Linked DNA regions of Alligator mississippiensis. Each later gene encodes a partner of the first gene's protein in a complex. Links are inferred from orthologs where the notes say so. Each region holds a gene or a part of one and is shown in the gene's direction. Other genes may lie near its edges.

Region 1 (10,608 bases):
CCCTGGAGGCTGGCATGGCATGGCAAGCTCCTGCAGACAGCAGTGGTGCTGTCAGCGGCAGGAGGATGGCAGCAGCGAGTGGCGAGCTCCCACAGGTGGCCATGGCACTGTTGGCAGGGGGGGTGAGTGCTGACCAGTGGTTGGCAACCACCCACAGATGCCACCAGCAGTATTGGCATTGGCCAGCGGTGATTGGGGACTGCCCACAGATGCCACCGGTAGTGTTGGTGGTGATGGGGGGTGGTGAGCAGCAACTGCCAGCAGGCGCTGCTGGCAGCGCTTTTTGCAGGGGGTGCACCACCAATCTCAGGGGGTACACATGCCCCTGCATGTATATATACATGTATGTATATACTATGCATTGCCAATGACTGAGAGGATTAGAACTGAGACCAACAGGCAGAGCCATCCCTAGGGGTATGCAGGGCCCCCATGGGGCATATCAGCCTGTGCGGGGCCTGGGAGGGGGGGGGTGGCGAGCAGCCGGAGCCAGCAGCACTTGGCAGTGGTGGCCGCAGCAGGACCTCTACTGTACTGACTGCAGGGCCCCCCCAAAGCATGGGGTCTGTAGCAGTGGCCCCAATTCGCCCCTCCCAGGGATGGCCGTGTCAACACGGCTACAACCTATACCCCTAGATACCATACTCCCATTTTCCTCATGTATGAAACACCATGTCAAGTGCTCTCCATTTTTGTCTTCTAATTTATACCCCTGCCTTTTCAACATAATAACGTAGTCTTCCATAGATTTATGTACTTTCTAATGAAACCAAGCCCCAAGTTAGTTATTTTTATGGTTTTGCATTTCTGGCATTTGGGAGTAGAGAAAGAAAGATCATTCCAATTCTAGTATAAAATCTATTTGAATGTTTTCATTAGTCCCATGTGTCCTGGCAGCCCCAGGCATATGTGGTCCCACTACACCACTGGTTAAATGATTTGTTGTTGAGCACTTAACATCTCTTTGAAATCTTTTAATCTAATATTAGGAAATGTCTCTTGCTTTTTTTTTTTTTTTAATATCATTTTGATTTCAAAGTCTTGATAACTTTTTTTTAAATGGCAATTGTGATGGACTATGGTGTTCATTGTAATATTTCTGTGTTAACTGTATTCGTATTGTAACAGTGTTGCATGCCTCTGTTTCCCTGTAGCTAACATAGGGGAGAAGGGTGGGGGGAGGTGGGGGAAATGGGTTATAGAGACAGTGAAGCTGGAGTTTTTGGTCTACATGAAAGAAGACACATCCATTGCATCCATCTACAGAGACTCAAATAGCTTTGCTGACATTTTAACAAAGGTGAGGATTACAGATGTCTAGGGGAAACAGGGAAATAAACTTTGGGTTGCATTTGGTCTGCCCAACAAGAGGTAAAGTCCCTCTCTCAGGAGCTAGGTTTCTGAGTCAGGGTTATGGACATAAATGGGAGGGTAAGGAACAAAAAGTCAGCAGGAGTGTCTCAGAATGGGAGAGAGACAGGGCTCCCCCCATGCTTTAGAGGCCACACCTGGTCTGGTTTTGGGATACACTCTGAGACCACACAAAATCCAGGTGGTCCCAAGCAATCACCCCCTGGAGGGCATTCTGTAGTAATAATATCTTTGAAACTGGCAATTCATCACATATCTCAAGACCCATTTTATGTGTCATACACATTAAGTTTTCTGTTCCTTTCCTTATTTGGAGCCAGAGCCCATTGAGATCAGTGGGAGTGTTATCAGATATTTAAGTGGACTGTGGATCAGGCCTTGAAAGACTGAAGATCTAGACTGACATCCCATTCATCGCAGCCAGAAAGTTTAGAAATAGGGCCATCTGGACATCCATATTCAGGAAGCAGAAGCTGGCAGCATATGGTGGCACATTTCCAGATAAAAGTGAGTTTTTCTCCTCCTCTCTTTTCCATGTGTTACTGAAGCAAGATTTTTGGTTATACAGTATTTTCATTTACAGAAGTGGACACTGTTGTGACAGGCTATCATGGGGTACCCAAATCTACACTGATCCAATTTGGGGGGAATTATGTGAGAAAACAGTGCCCCCAAAATGAATTGCTGCAATTTTGGGAACACCCTCCAAGGCTTCTCCACGCTAGGTCACATCATTCTGCTTTTTTACAATTTCAAATGGTTGCCTCCCATTAATTCTGTATTTTGTGGCACTTCCCTGGTGATAATATGGAACCAAGGCCCCCTCTAAACTTCGATTCTCTTTGGTTCCAGTCAGATTCTGATGCATCAAATCCATCATAGCTCTTAAATCATTCAGAACCTTTGGACAAACTTGGTGGTTTGTTCCCCCTGTCTCCATGCTACCCTCTCAGGAGTCACGGACAAGCTCAAGAGGGCCCTTGATCTTCCAGCTATATGAAAGGTCAAATGCAGCAAACCCCATGGACTTCCAATAGGCAAAAGGTATGTAGACCAACATCATATCCCACTTACCTGCCCTCTTAGTTGCATAAATTTGTCACAGTGGCTATAAATAATACATCTACTGCTGGTTGCACATGAGGAGCCATATACCTATTGAAGTAACTTGTTGCAAAAAAACTGAAAATGTAATTAACTTTGCAATGTAAAAACATCCCATTGTATTGTATATCCAGAACATAGCAACAGAAACAGTACTCTTAACAGGAGTACCAAAATCAGGACAACATATTACAAATCTCTCAAAACAGTCATTCTACATTGTTTCCTTGCATAAATAGCAGCTCCCCTATTTAAACATACATTATAGAAAAATTAAATTTCCTAAATACCCTGTAGACTACTTCCCCCCAAAGTGACATAAAAATGCCATGATTAAAAAATAAACACTACTAATGCCCAATTTCGAAAGCAAATGCTCTTAGTGCAATTCCAAATTATAGAAGCTTAAATTAAAATACGCAAATTAATTTTATAAGAATTATAAAAAGGTAATGGATGCATAGTGTTTTGGTATACCTTATTATACTTTTGTAATGGGTTGGAAAAAGGTTCAGAAATAAGCCTCAGGCATGACATGCTTGGTAACCAATCTCTTCTTAACCTTTTGAATTAAAAGTTGTTTAGACGTTATACCGGTGATTCTCAGTCAGGGTACAATGGCATGCCTTGATATCCTTTCAAGCGTGCTACACAATGTTATTACTTCTGTTAATTGCACAAACACAATTCACAAGATAAACCCAGAGATTTCAAATAGGAATCCACAGTGTTAAACCCGTTCCAACCTGCTATGGGCTTTCTGAGTTCTTTGCAACAGAAAAATAGCTTTATTGTTTTTCTGCAGTCAAAAAAATGAGTGAAAACTAAGAGCTGGCATTTTCTGAGGGGCACGTCAAAACTATAAAAGGTTGAGAGCCACCAGTTTAGACACCGGGCTTCCGCAATCCCACAAGCCCAAATTGCTCTAAAGTGGAACAGCACTGAAGACATTTCAAGGTGGCTTTTAAATTGGCACCAGAAGCTCTAGATTATGGGGAGAGGGGAAAAAAAAAAAAAAAAAAAAAAAAAAAAAATCAGCTGACCACCCCACCCTATGGCACAGTGACACCAGCCTTGGAACCATCACCTCCAGGAGCTGGCTCCTTGGGGAGTGACATCACAATGGCGGGATCCACCCGGGAGCATGGCGCAAGTGCACTGCAAATGCACAGCGCTGCTTCCCCAGCCTAGTGAGTCCCCCTGGTCACCACCTCCCCAAACCCTGTGTCTTGGGATGAGATGGGAAGTTGGTTCCCTAGAACCAACCAGCTTCAGCCTCATCACCAGGGATTCTGGTTTTCTCCAGTAAAAAAAAAAATCCCAAATTTTCTGACTCAACCCCCCCCCCCCCCCCCAATCCACATTTTTCTGTGATTAAAACAAAAAACCCTCCCTCTCTCCCTCTCCCTCGGGTCCTCACGGAGGGCCGTGATCTCTGTGAGGCCCTCTCACTGCGCTACTCCAGCCCGAGGGCACCCTCCATTCTCGCCCACCACGTCTTGATGGAATATATGTAATAGGGAGGCTGCCTTGTGTTACCTCGGGCCTGTCAGCTCCTGGACCCCTCGTGGGTCTCCCCGTACAATGGGCGCTACCCAAGTGCCCTAGCCTTATGGGCTATGCGTGGCTCCTACCTCCCCTGATACCACGCCCCAAGCCTCGCAGACGTAAAGGACGTTGTTCGGTCTATATGCCCGCTTCCCAGGCCTCCTCTCTAATGTGGCCCACTCTGGGCTCCCTGTCTCATGCCCAGCCTCTTGCTGGGACTCCCGTCTAGCCCACTCTGGGCCTCCCCACTCTGGGCCTCCCCTGCCAGTGTGGTTCCGCTTCAGGACTTTCTAGCGGGCCTCCGGTCCTATGGGCCAACTGCACGGACACCCTCCCTGACTCTGGCTCCCTGCGCTGCTACTCCCTGTCCTCTCAGGGGCAACCGCAGCACACTGCCTTGGTCTGAGGGGTATTGCCGCACTAGCCTGCGGTCGGGCTCGCTATACCCGTGCGCCCACACTGGGCTACTCAATAAAACCCAATGGCGTTCCCCCTCTCCGGGGCTCGCCACGCCCGCACTGGGCTACTCAATAATGTACAAGGGCATTCCCCCTCTCTGGGGGCTCGCCACGCCCACACTGGGCTCCTCAGTAATACCGCCCCTTTCCTGGGGCCGGGGGCTATGCTCCCCCACACGCAATCCAGGGTCTTGGTCCCCGTCCGCAACCTACGGGTTGCGCCCACAACCCACTGGCCGCGCTCCTCGCCACCAGCTGCTCGTGCAGTGGCGTGCAAGCTGCGCCTTCCCTGGCGCTATACAGGGGGCTATGTTCCCCCACACGCAATCCGGGGTCTAGGTCCCCGTCTGCAACCTACAGGTCGCGCCCGCGACCTACTGGCCGCGCTCCTCGCCGCCAGTTGCTCATATACTGGCGTGCGAGCTGCGCCTTCCCTGGCGCTGTGTAGATAATGCGCCCTCTTGGCGCTAGGGCACCCCACACTCTCTGGGGTCCCTATAGTTGAGGCCTCCTCCAACCCCTACAGCCTCACCCAAGCCTCCGGGTGTAATAACACAAACACAAAGCAAAACCACAAGCCCCTAGGCTGTAACACAAATGCAAGCCGCATGGCCATAACTCCTCATCATAGCTCAAACCTCCAGGGCTATCATGAGCTGTACTTGCGACTTAGGCTCCTTCCCATATCTCGGCTGAGGGAGCTCCTGCCTCCCTGGCTGCTGGCAGAGAACTGCCAGCCTGGCCTCAGCCCTGAGCTTTATAAGGGCCAGGCCCTGCCCCCTACAGGCAGCTGGCTCCGCTTGGTTGCTCCGGCAACCTGCAGCTGCGCTCATTACCTGAGCAGCCTCAGCTGGGCTCGTTATGTCAGGCCAGGGCGCGCTCACTTGCTCCCTGGCAGTTTCTCCACTCTAGGAGCAGGGGCACCGAGGTGCCCTGCGACAATCATATTATCACATTTTTCTGTGATTAAAATGAAACACCACTAATATGTGTGCATATTAGTGGTGTTTCATTTTAATCACGGAAAAATGTGATACATAACATTTTATGTATGTACATATTTTATGTATCACATTAGATGAAAAAGTGAACCACTATACACGCACACACACACACACAGTAGATACTACGATCCCATGCAATCAGTCCCGTGGCGCCACAGGCAGGCGGGAAGTATGTACTCTGTGTGTGTGTGTGTGTGTATATGTATAATATAATGTGATATTTAATACATACATATTATATATGTGTGTGTGCCTGTGTTTAATTTTAATAAGGGAAAAAGGAGAATTTAGTTGTTTTTTTTAATCAGAAAATGTGGGAATTTTTTTAAACGAGAGAAAACCAGGATCCCTGCTCATCACCGCGGGAGAGGCAGGGAGGCACTGGGATGGAGGGGGGTGGGAGCCAGCCCCGTGCCAACGCGGGGCGCAGGGAGGGCCAGTGCCGGCAGAGGGGCGCAGTACCAGGCGCGGGGGGCCGGGCTGAGGCGAGCGGGGCCGACACGGCGCCGGGGGCGGGGGAACGTTGGTGCCGGGGAGGCGGTTGGCGCCGCGAGGTGGGGTGGAGGCGGCTCCGGCGGGGGCGGGGAGGGCCGGCAGCGCCGTGCGCCGCTCCCAGGCGGAGGCGGGGGCAGCGTGTCCGGCCCAGCCCCCTCGCTCCTTCCCTCCCTCCCCGCAGCTGGCTGAGCTCGGGGCTCCCTCGGGGACACCCGCCGGCGCCGCCCGGGCCCGGAGCTGGAGACAGAGCCGCAGGCTCGCAAGGCCGCCCCTCCCCCCCTGCCGCCGCCGCGGCTGCTGAGAGGCAGCCGGAGTCCCGCGGGGGCCGCAGCAAGATGGCGGGTAGGTGCCGGCCCCCTCCCCCCTCGGAGAGCCGGGAGCCCTGGGGGGCCGGGCCAGGCCGGGCGGGGTGGGGCGGGGCTGAGGGAGGACGGGGGCAGCGCGGGCGGGCACTACATTGTGCGCGTCTCCCCGCAGATGTGTCGCTGCTGCAGGAGGACGCGCAGGAGGAGGTGGACGCATGTGAGTACGGCCCGGGCTTTACCCCGGCGCCTGCTTCGGCCCCGCCCTGCACGCAGGCACGCACGCAGCCGCGGGCGGGCCGGAAGCGCGGGGCGCGGGGCGCGGACAGCCGCGGAGGAAGCGCGCGGGGCGGAGGACGAGTGCGGGCGGGGCAGGGGCAGGGCTCGACCCTGGCGAAGCAGCGGGCACGGGTGTCGCTCTCCAGGTTGTGGTATGTGTCCATGTCCTGCATTGCTCCCTGCCTGTCTTAAGCTGCTCCCTGTGTCCGTGGGTTAAACTGCTCCCCGTCTCTGTGTATATCTGTGTGTACATCCGAAGCTGCCCCTCTGTCCCCATGCCTCCCCTTGTGTGCGGTGTGTCCCTTACGCCCCTCCCCATGTGTGCACGTCCCCTACACCCCCTCTGTGTTTGTGTGTGCACGTGTCCCCTATGTCTCCATGTGTGTGCGTGCGTGTGCACGCGTGTCCCCTATGCCCCTTCCTGTATGTGTGCATGGGTGTGTGTCTCCTCTGTATGCATACACGTGTCCCCTATGCCCCTCTGCGTGTGCGCACGTGTCCCCTACACCTGTGTGTGCGTGCATGTGTGCACGTGTCCCCCACACCCCTCCCTGTGTGTGTGCATGGGCGTGTGTCCCCCATGCCCCTCCCCGTTTGTGTGGGTGTGGCTGCCCCCCCCCCCCCCTTCTTGCCCCGCAGGAGCCAGGGTGTTTGGGATTCACCAGCTGGGCATGTGGGTTGTGCTGGTTGCATGAGGCTCCTTGGGCTCTTAAACTCTGAGGAAGCTGGAGTCTGTTTCCCGTGCACTTGCCCAGGATAACCGCGTTATTCAGTTCTCCGTAACAGCCTGACGCCAGCATGAGGACGTGGTGAGATTAGGATGAGGCTAAGACTTGCAGAGGACTGACCCCATTCAGAAACTGAGGACCTTTGTGTAAAGGATCTAGGGAGCAAGCAAGGAGAAACCCTAGGAAAGCCTGTTGTGTCTGTGACCTCATCCAAGATGTGTTTTTTTTACTCCCTGAAGGGTTTTTTTCCCCCTTTAAATTGCTTTCTTCTTTGTTAATGAAAATGCTTGCAATGAGGGAGAATGAATCTGGCGTTGTGGCAGTATAGTAGAAAGATGGATGTAGAATTCTGTATTAGCAACAGAAAGGGTGTTCGTTTTAGGTAAAGAAACTCTGTGCAGTGACGGGTAGTTTGTGGTATTAGATGTGACAGAAAGTACCTCATCGTATAAATAAGTATTCTGAAATTCTAGCTATAGAGGAGAGCTGGAAACAGAACAAAGGTGATATCAAATGCTAACTATAAGGTAGGGATGAAGAAACATGGCTCTTTTATGTGGCTTCTGTTTTAGATGTCAGTCCTGCACTCTGCTGAGGCATGCCTGTGCTCCTATCTGGAGACTGATAGTCAGTGTCTGTTTGCAGCCTATGTGCCGCCATAAAATTCTTTATGGAGGTACGAGAACTGAGTGAACAGACATCATAGCCCTTTGTTGGGCCAAAAGTGCTTAAATTTTGTGGCACCAACAAGGGTACTAACAATTTGTGCTGCCTTTTTGCGTGACATCTGTTTACTTATGGCAGGAGACTGTGGGCTGGCAGAATAACCTCTGATGCATGTGTGCAAGTGTGAAGGGCTTCTCCTACCTGCACATTATAGTGGGGGTATTATGCCCCTAGCTCTGCAGATGTGGAGAGGGGAATTTCTAGGAGTTCTGCCCTCTTCTTGCACATGGCCTTGGTGCCTGGTACCTTTTTTTGTTGGTGCCCCTGGGTTGGGGTGCTCCCTGCAACCAGAAGAGGGAACACCAGGGAAATTCTCCCCCCCATGCTTTGCAGACACAAGCTGGGGGAATCCCCTCCTGAAGGGCTCCCCTGCATCCCAACATGGGGGCGAATTTACAAGTTGGGGCTTCCCCCCTTGTAAATGCATACCCGAACTCAGTGCTCGTTTCTTCCAGGATTGGGTCCTTGAAGCCCTGGGAGTGGCAGGATATGGACTGTGGACAGCGACAGGTCTGACAGTGTCTGTTAGATGTCTCTGAAGTGGATTAGCTGTGCTCCAAAGAGGATGTCTGTTTCCAGCCATTGACAGGTCGAAGGGGTGTCTCCCTGTGAGCAGATTGTGGCTTTAGTTTGGTTTGAAATAGTCTTTAAGGAATCTAAAACTAATAGCAGTTCATCTGTTAAATTGGTCAAAATTCAAGTGAAAACAAACACTTTTAAGCAGCATTCCCCCACTTCAGTGATAGTGATCCAGTGTTTCAGCCTTGTATCCTGTGTTCAGATTTTTCATGGTGGACTAGCATGAGAGAGTTATCTCTTGTAAGGTTTCTTAACTATCTTTTCATTCAGTTTGACCAGATTTCAGATTTATAGCATATCTTTAATTTGTGTAACAGCTCTATATGAATGGGCAAAGATATCTCTTAGTCTTCCTTGTAACATTTTCCTTGAACGTAAAAGTCAGAACATAAATAAAGGAGATTACTGATAGAACATATATATGTTATAGCCGCCCTACACACACACAGTCTGATTCTTTGTTCTTAGCCTCCCAAAAATAGATGGAACATTATGGAAAGGAAAAAATTATGGTAAAAATCAAAGTCATCTACATACTTGGTTGTAGGTTGTGAAGATTAGATGAATGCTGCCCTAGGCTAGAATTATGAAAGAAGCAGGCAAAGGACTTTAAAGGACCTCACCGGAAGAGAGTGAAGCTTTTTATAAATGAAATAAAAATGAACAATTCAACACACACAATTATTTTCTAGAAAAGGTAAGGAACTGGACAAAAAGCAGACTAAAACTTAATGCAGGGAACAGTTCTGTATTGTTGAGGAATTAGATTAGATGACCTTAAAGCTCTTATTTTTCAGCTGCGTTTCCAGCAGCAGGCTTGGGAATAGGCTCTGGGAAGTTTTAAAAAAATCTTAGGATGTATTGGCACATTCTTGGGTATAAAAAAGTCTTTTGAATATACTCATACGTGTAATTCTGTCAAATATGGTCTTGCAGTTAGCCTAAATTTTTGCAAGGGCAGACAATGCAACTGTGTATGTATTATTCCTTGTAGTGCAGGCATAATTTTAGGAACGTTGGTATAATTGGATGTACTTGTATTATATCTGTCTAAAAAATGTATATTTGAAATAAGATCAGTTGACTGTGTATCTTGGAAACAATAACCCAGAGTTTGAATAATCCTTTGACATTAGACTAATTACAGAAAAACAACCAAATTTCAAGCCTTGCCTACAATGCTGACAAATATGTTCTCAGTGAAAAGGAAGAAGTTGTGAAATGTAGCTGAGAACTGGCTTCACTTTCTAAAGTACTTTATTTTTTTAAAGGGGAAGATGACTGCCTAAATGTCATGCAATATTCAGTAGATTGTGTTTTAATCCAAATGATCTACTAGGGCAGGGGTGTCCAACCTTTTTGAATGTGGGGCTGGATCATGAACTTTTTATCATCCAGTGGGCCAGCGAGCTACATTCAAAGACCTCACAGGAAGCGGTATCACATCAGGAAGAGATGTCATGTGACCTTTGACACCAATGAAGTTGCAGGGGTTGTCATGGCATGCATGCCCGGGTTGACATGGTGATACAGGAGCCACTTGGTTACAACCGGGTTGACCTGGTGCTGGAGAAGCCGCGGGGTCAGGCCAGGGTTAACCTGGGGCCTGCCCAGCCTCCCGGTGCCATGCCCAGGTTGACATGGTGCTACAGGACCCACCTGGGCACCGGCCAGGACCACCAGGTCAGCACCAGCTAGGAAAAGCAGCATGCAGCTGAAGCTGGCTTCCCACGTGCTGCTGGGGATGGGAGGAGGTCAGCCAGGTCTGCACCGGCCAGCAGAAACGGTGGCAGAGCCATGTACTGTTCGGGACTGACCGGCGCAGGCTCATCCCGTCCCGAGTGGCAGATGGCTCTGCTGCTGCTTCTGCTGGCCGGTGCAGACTTGGCCGGCCTCCTCCCGTCCCCAGCAGCACATGAGAAGCGGCCCCCACGGGGCTTTGCACGCGGGCGGCTGGGCCCAGAGAGCTGCAGTGCCCGGGGGGAGACTGGCCGGGGGAGCAGGCACTGCCTTG
Region 2 (9,848 bases), on another chromosome or scaffold:
GTTCAATGAAGTCATAGGGTAGGGGCAGCAAACTCAACGCTTTGCAGACTTGCCATTGTGGCGATGCCGAGGTGCTGGGACCCCGCGGGCACCCCGGGAGCGCACACATTACGGGCAGCGGGTAAAGGACTAGCAAGGGGCGCTGAACTACCCCCGCTGCACAGCGCTGGGGGGCTGCTCTTGCTCGGCCCCTTTCCTCCTCGCGTATATTTATATTAATAAGAGTATTACAGCTTGGAAGACCAGGTTCTCTGCGTGGATCTGACATCTTTCATTAGACCCACTTAAATAGTTGGAAAAACTTGTAAGCAAGCTTTCGGGTTTAACAACTCTTGGTCAGGCTGAGGAAGATCTGCACGTGTGCCGGCCTGAGGAAGGGCTTTTAAGCCCGGAAGCTGGCTTTAAAGTTCTTCCAGCTATTTAAGTGGGTCTAAGGAAAGACACGGGATTCACGCAGAGACCCTCGTCTGCCCGTCCTTAGCCAGCACGGCTACCACCTCCCCCGCGCGGCTTGGCCGCACTTGGAAGCCGGCGCCTGGCTCAACCGCGGCCGGGGGGTGACGGGGAGCAGCGCCGCCCGCCGCCGGAGAAGCAGTCGCCCGTCCCGGGAAGCGCCGCCTGTGCGACCGGCCGCCGGGTCCTCCACCAGCGCCCGGCTTGCCGTGCCGCGGGGGCCTGCGCGCCGCCCGCTCCCGGGCTGCCCCGGCCCGTGGGGAAGGCCGTGCTTCCCCGGCCGCCCCACGCAGCCCGCCCGCCCGCCCGCCGCGGGCTGTGCACGAGCCGCCCCCCTGAATGTCAGGGGCGTCGAGTTTCTCCCGGGGCTATTTTTAGCGGCAGCTGTGAAAGGGCAGGGGTCGCCGAGAAGGTCAGAGCCCCCCCGGGCGGCCCCGCCCCCTCCGCCCGGCCTCATATAAGGGGGTCGCCCGCAGCCCCCGCACCGGCCGCCCGGCACTGCCACCAGACCCTGCCCCGCCCGCCCGCCCGCCAGGTGAGGGGCGGCCCACGGCGGGGCTCGGGCTCGTGCTCGGGCACGGGGGGGCGGGCAGGAGGGCCCTGTCTGCAGGGCGCTGGGGCGGTGTCCAGGGGGGTTGGGGCGGACGTGGGGCAGCGCCGGGGCGGCCTGGGGCCGCGGGGCAGGCGCCATAGCGGGGCTGTAGGTGGGGGCGTTGCGGGGCGGCGGGGGCACGGGGCCGGGGCGGCGGGGGCAGGCCGCGAGCGCGGGCCCCGCGGCGCCCTTGGCGGGGATCGGGTTTCCCCCGCAAAGGTCAGCGCGAAACCCACGCGCGGCGGGCCGGGGGGTGCAGTGACGCAACCCCAGAGCCTCCCAGGCCCCGCCCCCGGGACGTCACTGCGCGGGCGGGGCACGGCGTGGGGGAGCCCCAGGGCAGCCCCGGGGGCAGCAGGGGCGTGGCCCCCCGGCCGCGCCCGCGCGTGACGTCGGCGCGGCGCCCCGCCCCCAGCCCCTAGCCCGCCGCAGCCCCACGCGGCAGCGCAGTCGATCCCGCCGCCGCCGCTGCCGCAGGTTGGCTTGGGGGGGGCGTCGGGCCGGGGGGGCTTCGGGCCGGGGGGGGGGCGTCGGGGTGGGGGGAAGCGCCGGGGGGGCGCTGCTGGGCCGGGCGCCTGGCTCCCTGCCCCCCCCGCCCTTGGAGCGACCTTGACTCCCGGCACCGCCGCGCGGAGCTCGGGCACGCGGGCCCGGGGGCTGCCATCGCCCCCCCTCCCGCCCCGGCCCCCTCGGTCCCGCCCGCGCCCCGGGCACACGACCCCCCCGGACACTTGCCCCCACCCGCGGCCACGACCCCCCCCCGACGCCCGGGTCCCGCCCAGGGGGGGCCGGAAGCGGCCATGCGGAAGGCCGCGCGCCGCACGTCCCGCGCGTAACCCCTGCGCTCCCGCAGCCGCCAAGATGCCGCACCCGCACCCGGCCCTGACGCCCGAGCAGAAGAAGGAGCTGGCGGACATCGCCCACCGCATCGTGGCGCCCGGCAAGGGCATCCTGGCCGCCGATGAGTCCACCGGTGCGGGGCGGGAGTGCAGGGCACGGGGGGGGGGCTGCGGGGCGGGAGTGTGGGGCACGGGGGGGGGGGGCTGCGGGGCGGGAGTGGGAGGCACGGGGCACTGCAGGGCCCCCTGTGTTAACCCCCACCCGCCCCCCTGCAGGCAGCATCGCCAAGCGCCTGAGCTCCATCGGGGCAGAGAACACCGAGGAGAACCGGCGCTGGTACCGGCAGCTGCTCTTCACGGCCGACGCGCGCGTGGATCCCTGCATTGGCGGCGTCATCCTCTTCCACGAGACCCTCTACCAGAAGGCCGACGATGGGCGCACCTTCCCCCAGGTCATCAAGGCCAAGGGCGGCGTTGTTGGTATCAAGGTAGGCCCCCGGGGGGGTGGGCAAGGTGGTCATGGGGACTATTGGGGGGGGGGGAGGGGGCCGGGGTTGGAGGTCTCAGGAGGCTTTTACCTTGAACCTGGTAGTTGGGGTGCAGGAGTGAGGAGTGGAGGCCAGGGGTCGGGGCAGTACTGATGAGGTTCCCTCTCCCCCACCGCAGGTGGACAAGGGCGTGGTGGCCCTGGCCGGGACCGATGGGGAGACCACCACCCAAGGTGAGTGCCTGGACACCAGGGTCTCGGGGCTGGGAGTGGTTGCATCTGGCAGGACAGGCATGTCTGCGGGGTTTTCCCCAAATGCCTGGGTCCTGAGCCTCATCCCCCTCCCCAGGCCTGGACGGGCTTTCTGAGCGCTGTGCCCAGTACAAGAAGGATGGGGCCGACTTCGCCAAGTGGCGCTGCGTGCTCAAGATCGGGCCCCACACGCCCTCACGCCTCGCCATCCTGGAGAATGCCAATGTGCTGGCCCGCTACGCCAGCATCTGCCAGCAGGTGGCCGTGGGGCAGGGCTGGGGGCAGGGCTACTTCCTCTCCCAGGAGCTAGCAGGGGGTGGGGCTAAGACTGAGGGCAGAGCCAGAAGGGCACAGGCAGCATCTGCCAGCAGGTGGGGCTAGAGGGGCTGTAGGTGGGGCTGGGGGTTGGGGTCAGGGCTAACAGGCTCATCCCGACCTCCCCCCATGTCCTTCTAGAACGGCATTGTGCCCATCGTGGAGCCCGAGATCCTCCCCGATGGCGACCATGACCTGAAGCGCTGCCAGCACGTCACCGAGAAGGTGAGAGGGGTCACTGCAGTGAGGGGGCACTTACCAGAGGCTGGGAGGTGGGAGATCTTTGGGGGGTGTGGCCAGAAGGAGCCCCGCCTCTTGGAGGAGCTGGAGGGAAGATGCAGCAGTGGATGTGGGTGGTGTGCTGACCAGTCCTGCCCCCCCCCAGGTGCTGGCGGCTGTGTACAAGGCGCTGAGTGACCACCATGTCTACCTGGAGGGGTCACTGCTGAAGCCCAACATGGTGACACCTGGGCACGCCTGCACCACCAAGTACAGCCATGAGGAGATCGCCATGGCTACCATCACCGCGCTGCGCCGCACCGTGCCACCTGCTGTGCCCGGTGAGACCTGGGCCTGCCCCTGGCTTCACCCCCTGTGGCCCTGCTCCCTATCTCACCCCTGACAGCCATGCTCTGGGCATGCAAGCCAGGGTAGGGGAGGCTCCACCATCTCCTTGACTCCACCCCCTTGCCCATTAACCCCCTGGGTGCTGTGCCTATGCCCAGGGTCCCCTGCTCCAGCCCAGCCTGTTAACCCCGCGAGCACTGTGTCACGCCGGCACTGACTCCCTCCCCCTTCACAGGTATCACCTTCCTGTCCGGGGGGCAGAGCGAGGAGGAGGCGTCTCTGAACCTCAATGCCATCAACAAGTGCCCCCTGCACAAGCCCTGGGCCCTGACCTTCTCCTACGGGCGGGCGCTGCAGGCTTCAGCCCTCAAGGCCTGGGGCGGCAAGAAGGAGAACACCAAGGCGGCCCAGGAGGAGTACGTCAAGCGCGCTCTGGTGCGTACTGACCTGGCCCGCGGCGGGGGGAGAGTGACCTCTGACTTGCAGAGGGGGTGGGGGAGGGGAGCCTGGACGCTGGGTTTTTTGTGCTGCTCTGACCTGTCTTGTCTGTCCGTCTCTCTGCAGGCCAACAGCCTCGCCTGCCAGGGCAAGTACGCCGGCAGCGGCCAGGCCGGTGCTGCCTCCAAGGAGTCTCTCTTCGTTTCCAACCATGCCTACTAGGCTGCGGCTCCACCCTGCCTGCCCCCCGCCCCTCCCCCATCCCCTTCCCAACTTGGGCTGCAACTATATTCACCTGGACCCGACTGGGGCAGAGACCAGCGGGCACAAGAACCCCGGCCTCCGGGCGGCCCCTCCCCCCCTCCCCCTCCCCCTGGTGAGCAACACTTCCGGCTCCCGCCCCCCCTCCAGCTGCCCGGTCTCCGGGTGGGGGCGGGCGAGGCCCTAACTACACTGAGTTACTGAATAAAATGAATTCATGAAGATATGTGTCCTGTGCTCCTGGGCCTCGGGGGTGCGGGTTTCGGGGGTCTAGGCCGTGGGCCCCTCTGGCCCCCAGGAGGGGAAAGGAGCCAGGGTGGGGGGGGGGCAGGGTTCTGGCCTGTGTCCCCCACACGTGACCGCAGCAGAGGGAATGCATGTCCCTGCCCGAGTAGCCTGTCCTGGCACAGGCCCCTGCTTGCTGACGTCACATGCTCGGCCTAGGGCACAGGAATCCACGCTCGGGTGACATCACCTTCGCCCATCCCTCGCTCCCCTTCCCCGCCACTTCCGCCCCGTGACGGGTGCCTGGGTAGCACTTCCGCCCTGGCTCTGATGTCATTCATCATGCGCCCCCTCATTTCCCGTGGCATTTCGGCTCTACACGTCAGTTCCGCCCGGCCCTACACTTCATTCTGGCTGTTTGCGTAGCATACGCTTTTACCGTTACTTCCGCCCTCACCGTGACGTCGCTTCCTGTCCCTCACCTTTTCTTTCTTCCCTTAGACGTCCCAAATGCGTCACTTCCCGCCCGTCTCTCAGGCCTTCCTCCTTCCGGTTGTGGAGGAAGGGGGGTGTCCGGACGTGACGTCGCGCCGGCGGGGGCGGGGCCACGAGCGGTGGGAACCGGTGCGACGCGGGGCCGCCGCCGGGACCAGGTGCGGGGGGGGGGGGTGGTGCATATGCTGGCGTCGCAGCGGCAAGGATCCGGGCCGGGGGGGGTGCAGTTCCGGGGCCCCCGGGGCGGGTCAGGCTGTGGGGGCCGGTTCCGGGGGCAGCTTGGGCCAGCGTGGCCTGGGGGCAGCTCCTGGGTAGCGTGCGGGGCCGGGGGTGCTTGTGGGGCCCTGCGCGGGGGCCCGGGCCGCGCTCACCCCGACCCCGCGTTGCCCCCCAGCCATGGCGGAGCTGAGCGACCTGGACCGGCAGATCGAGCAGCTGCGGCGCTGCGAGCTCATCAAGGAGAGCGAGGTCAAGGCCCTGTGCGCCAAGGCCCGGTGAGCGGGGCGGCAGGGCTGGGGGCGCCGCGTAAGGGGGATCCTGCATCGCAGCCGCCTCTGGGGAGCCCGCACCGGGGCTCGGGTCAAGAGCTCGCGCAGTGCGGCTGGCTCTGGGGGGCCCGGCTGCTGTCTGCATAGAACAGAGCTCTGGGGCGGCAGGACGGGCCCCGCGGGGCGCTGGCTGTGGGGGACACGGGGGCAGGACGGGCCCCGCGGGGCGCTGGCTGTGGGGGACACGGGGGCAGGACGGGCCCCGCGGGGCGCTGGCTGTGGGGGACACGGGGGCAGGACGGGCCCCGCGGGGCGCTGGCTGTGGGGGACACGGGGGCAGGACGGGCCCCGCGGGGCGCTGGCTGTGGGGGACACGGGGGCAGGACGGGCCCCGCGGGGCGCTGGCTGTGGGGGACACGGGGGCAGGACGGGCCCCGCGGGGCGCTGGCTGTGGGGGACACGGGGGCAGGACGGGCCCCGCGGGGCGCTGGCTCTGGGGGACACGGGGGCAGGACGGGCCCCGCGGGGCGCTGGCTCTGGGGGACACGGGGGCAAAGGCCATGAATAACTGGTGTCCCTGCCTCTCCCTGCCTAGGGAGATCCTGGTGGAGGAGAGCAACGTGCAGCGGGTGGACTCCCCAGTGACGGTGAGCGGGGCTTGGGCAGGGGTCCCTGGGCCAGGAGGGTCTAGGCCAGAGGGCATCAGGGCTGCCCTGTCTCACCCCCCCCCCTTGCCCCCCCCAGGTCTGCGGTGACATCCACGGACAGTTTTATGACCTCAAAGAGCTCTTCCGGGTGAGTCCTGCCCCCCACAAACTCCACCCTGCCCCCCCCACTGCAGGCCCCCCCTTACCCCTGCTGCCCCCCAGGTGGGCGGCGACGTCCCCGAGACCAACTACCTCTTCATGGGGGATTTTGTGGACCGCGGCTTCTACAGCGTCGAGACCTTCCTGCTCCTGCTGGCGCTCAAGGTAGATGCCCCCAGCCCCCCCAGGGCACTGGGCACACAACTGGGGTTGGCATGCTCTGGGGCAGGGCGGCTGCAGGGGGTAGCTGGCAGGGGAGGCTTGGGGGACGGATGCAGCCGGCTCTGGGCTGGGCCCCACTGGGGACAGGAAGACTTGTGCCCTCAGGCTGGAGCTGGCTCTAGGGTGTCACAGGCACTGAGGCGGCTGGGCCTGGGGTTGAAGCATCCTGTGGCAGCAGCCAGGTACCACAGGGGCCAGCGTTGCAGCTACCTCTGGGGCCTGGTGTTTAAGTGGCCAAGTATAAGAGGCCTGGGCGGTGCAGCTGGTTTTGTGGGGGTGTGGGTGAAGCCGGGTATAATAGGGCTGAACAGTGCTGCGGGCTGTAGGGTGGGATGTTATACTTGGCCCCTGACGCATCCCACCCCAGATCCAGCTACAGCACTTGGGCCTGTTATACTCAGCTGCTGACTTGCTCTACCCTAGAGTCAGCTGCATTGTTCAGCTCTCCTGTACTCATCTGCTGTCAGCCGGTTTTGGAGTGGGACATACTGGCAGCTGACTACAATGCGTCCCACCCTAGAACCAGCTGCCTGCAGGCCTGAGCACTGCAGATGGCTCTGGGTGGGGCACGTTGGTAGCCGAGTGTAACAGGCTGCAGAAAGCAGCCAGCTCTGGGGTGGGATGTGCTGGTGGCCAAGTGTAAACCCCCCCCCCCATGGCCTCCACAGGTGCGGTACCCAGACCGGATCACGCTGATCCGCGGCAACCATGAGAGCCGGCAGATCACGCAGGTCTATGGCTTCTATGATGAGTGTCTGCGCAAGTACGGCTCCGTCACTGTGTGGCGCTACTGCACCGAGATCTTCGACTACCTCAGCCTCTCAGCCATCATCGACGGCAAGGTGCCCCACCCCGCTCCCAGAGACCTGGGTTCCCTGTGGGGGAAGAGCAGGGGGCTGAACAGTGGGAGCCTGGACACTTGGGTTTTCCAGCGGGCAATGGTTTAGCCTCTGGTCTGGGATTCCCCTGCCTGACCCATGCCCCCTCTTCCCTGCCCTCTCAGATCTTCTGCGTGCATGGGGGACTGTCGCCCTCGATCCAGACGCTGGACCAGATCCGCACAATCGACCGCAAGCAGGAGGTGCCCCACGACGGCCCCATGTGTGACCTGCTCTGGTCTGACCCTGAAGGTACAATGGAGGGGGCAGCAATGCAGCCAGCTCTGGGGTGGGGCAGATGGGAACAGCAGGCTGTGATGCTGCCCAAGAGGGCTTGGTCAGCCCAGTGATGCGAGCAGCTTGCAGGTGGGTGGTGCTGGCAGCTGGCTGTAACAGCACCCTGCCATGCAGCTGGCTCTGGGGTGGGTGGTGCTAGTGGCCACACATAACGGGCCTTGTCCCTGCCTTGCAGACACGACGGGCTGGGGCGTGAGCCCGCGGGGGGCCGGCTACCTGTTTGGCAGTGATGTGGTGGCCCAGTTCAACGCATCCAACGACATCGACATGATCTGCCGAGCACACCAGCTCGTCATGGAGGGTTACAAGTGGCATTTCAATGAGACTGTGCTCACAGTCTGGTCGGCCCCCAACTACTGCTACAGGTGGGGCAGGGGCACCGCCAGGGGGCTGCGGGTTGGGAGCAAGGGGCACCAGCATGTGACCTGTGACCCCCCCCCCCCCCCCCACAGGTGCGGGAATGTGGCTGCCATCTTGGAGCTGGACGAGCACCTGCAGAAGGAGTTCATCATTTTTGAAGCTGCCCCCCAGGAGACGAGGGGGATCCCCTCCAAGAAGCCTGTGGCTGACTACTTCCTGTGACCCCCCACTTCCTGTAACCCCCCTGCCCACCATCTCCCTGGGGGTGCCCCCCTCTGGCTGTATGGGGGGAAGGGCTTCTCTCGGGGTTAGGGGTCCCGCTGGCGGCCCCAGGACCAGGGGCACTCAGGCCCTGCTGCTCTGGGGGTTCGTGGGGGCCGTAGCTGCTTCCCCTGGGGCCCCCAGCCCTGCCCCCCTGGCTTCTCCACGAAGCTTTTTTTGTTATTGTTCCTGTTTTTATTTCTTTGGTTTTTTTTCCTGTTCGTTTTAGATACAAAAAGAAAAACTTCCTTAAAAACCAAATAAAAATGGAAAAATGAAAAGAATAAAAAAACGACATTTGTAGAAAGGTTGAAACCCCACCTCTGCCTCTTCTTGGACCTAGGCGTCGGTGCTCTCCGCCCCGCCCCCGAGGATCCTGCGGCCGGGCCTCACCCGGTGTCTCCGCTGCCCCCTGGCGTCCAGACCTGGTGCTGCGCACGCGCAGGACACTCCTGGGGCCTCTGCTGCCCCCTGGCGTTCACTCACCTCTGCCGCCCTCGGGCTGGTTAGGTGCATGCGCAGGAAGACTCCCCGACCCCGCCTCTCAGGCTAGTCCGCGCATGCGTTGAAGGTTCGTTCCATCGGGCCCCCGCGCAGCTCCCGCCTCAGGCTTGTGCGCATGTGCAAAAACTCGCTAAGGTGAGCGCTACCCATGCGCGAATCGCACCCCCACCTGCCCGGGACTTCGTATCTGCGCATGTGCTAATGACCCCCCCCCACCCCATCTGGGACCCCTTTCTGCTGCCCTCTGCCGTTCACTCGCATCACTGCAGCCCTCGGGCTGAGTAGACGCATGCGCGGGAAGTCTTCTTCAGGTCGTGCATGTGCAAAAAACCTTAACGCTGAGTACTTAAGGCATGCGCGAAATCCCCCCTCCCCCGCCCGAGGTGCCTGTATGTGCGGATGTACTAATCCCCCCTCCCCCCCAAGCCAGGGCCTGTCTCTACTGCCCTCTGGCGTCCGCTGGCTTCTCTGCAGCCCTGCGGCTGACTAAGCGCATGCGCAGAGAACCCTCCTCCCCTCAGGCCTGCTTGTTTCTGCGCGCACTAAATACCACCCCCCCCCCCGAGGTGTAGGTTGTTGCTGTGTTGCTCTACTCTAAGAACATAGACAGACAAGGCTATTTGAGTAAAGGCGAAATCTGTTATTAGATCAACTCAAGTACTTGCAAAATAAATAATAAATACGTAAAAAGTGAGTCTAACAATAGGTGTCGGATTTACCTAAAAAACCTTGCCCGCCCGCGCTCTAGGACTCTCTGCTGCCCTCTAGCCTCCACTAGCTTCGCTGCAGCCCTCGCCCTGAGTAGGCACATGCGTAGAAAGGCCGTCAGACCCCCCCCGGGGCTGCTGCTCCGTGCGTACGTTGAAGTTTCCTAACGCGGTTTCATGCGCATGCGCAAAAAGTCCGTCCACGTGAATTCCTGCGCGCATACGCAGCCCCCGCTGTTCGTACCTGTGCATGCGCTACTGTCCCCTAACTGGAGACTCCCTCTGCTGCCCTCTGGCGTCCGCTCGTCTGACTGCAGTCCCCGGTCACCGTAAGCGCATGCGCTGAATGCACTCCTTATCAGGCCGGTCCTCCGCATATGCGTTGAAGGCGTCGAACCTCA

Evidence for each region. The genes of interacting proteins can lie anywhere in the genome.
Region 2: PPP4R1 (region 1) and PPP4C share a complex: the UniProt entries of both Homo sapiens proteins name them as parts of the PP4 complex. The link is inferred for Alligator mississippiensis from reciprocal best matches to the Homo sapiens genes PPP4R1 and PPP4C.

Annotation. Positions count from the first base shown.
Region 1 is NC_081826.1:95,277,254-95,287,861, reverse strand, and holds the start of PPP4R1 (serine/threonine-protein phosphatase 4 regulatory subunit 1), read left to right. Parts: upstream 1-6,092; 5' UTR 6,093-6,315; coding exon 6,316-6,322; intron 6,323-6,457; coding exon 6,458-6,502; intron 6,503-6,645; exon of another isoform or gene 6,646-6,713; intron 6,714-10,608. UniProt on the Homo sapiens protein: Regulatory subunit of serine/threonine-protein phosphatase 4. May play a role in regulation of cell division in renal glomeruli. The PPP4C-PPP4R1 PP4 complex may play a role in dephosphorylation and regulation of HDAC3.
Region 2 is NC_081830.1:228,810-238,657, reverse strand, and holds PPP4C (serine/threonine-protein phosphatase 4 catalytic subunit), read left to right. Parts: upstream 1-4,971; 5' UTR 4,972-5,082; intron 5,083-5,318; 5' UTR 5,319-5,320; coding exon 5,321-5,418; intron 5,419-6,007; coding exon 6,008-6,059; intron 6,060-6,156; coding exon 6,157-6,207; intron 6,208-6,281; coding exon 6,282-6,383; intron 6,384-7,108; coding exon 7,109-7,282; intron 7,283-7,443; coding exon 7,444-7,570; intron 7,571-7,790; coding exon 7,791-7,980; intron 7,981-8,067; coding exon 8,068-8,197; 3' UTR 8,198-8,556; downstream 8,557-9,848. Other genes in the region: ALDOA (fructose-bisphosphate aldolase A), read left to right, coding at 1,907-2,018, 2,161-2,372, 2,551-2,605, 2,721-2,881, 3,080-3,163, 3,324-3,498, 3,741-3,940, 4,070-4,165. UniProt on the Homo sapiens protein: Protein phosphatase that is involved in many processes such as microtubule organization at centrosomes, maturation of spliceosomal snRNPs, apoptosis, DNA repair, tumor necrosis factor (TNF)-alpha signaling, activation of c-Jun N-terminal kinase MAPK8, regulation of histone acetylation, DNA damage checkpoint signaling, NF-kappa-B activation and cell migration.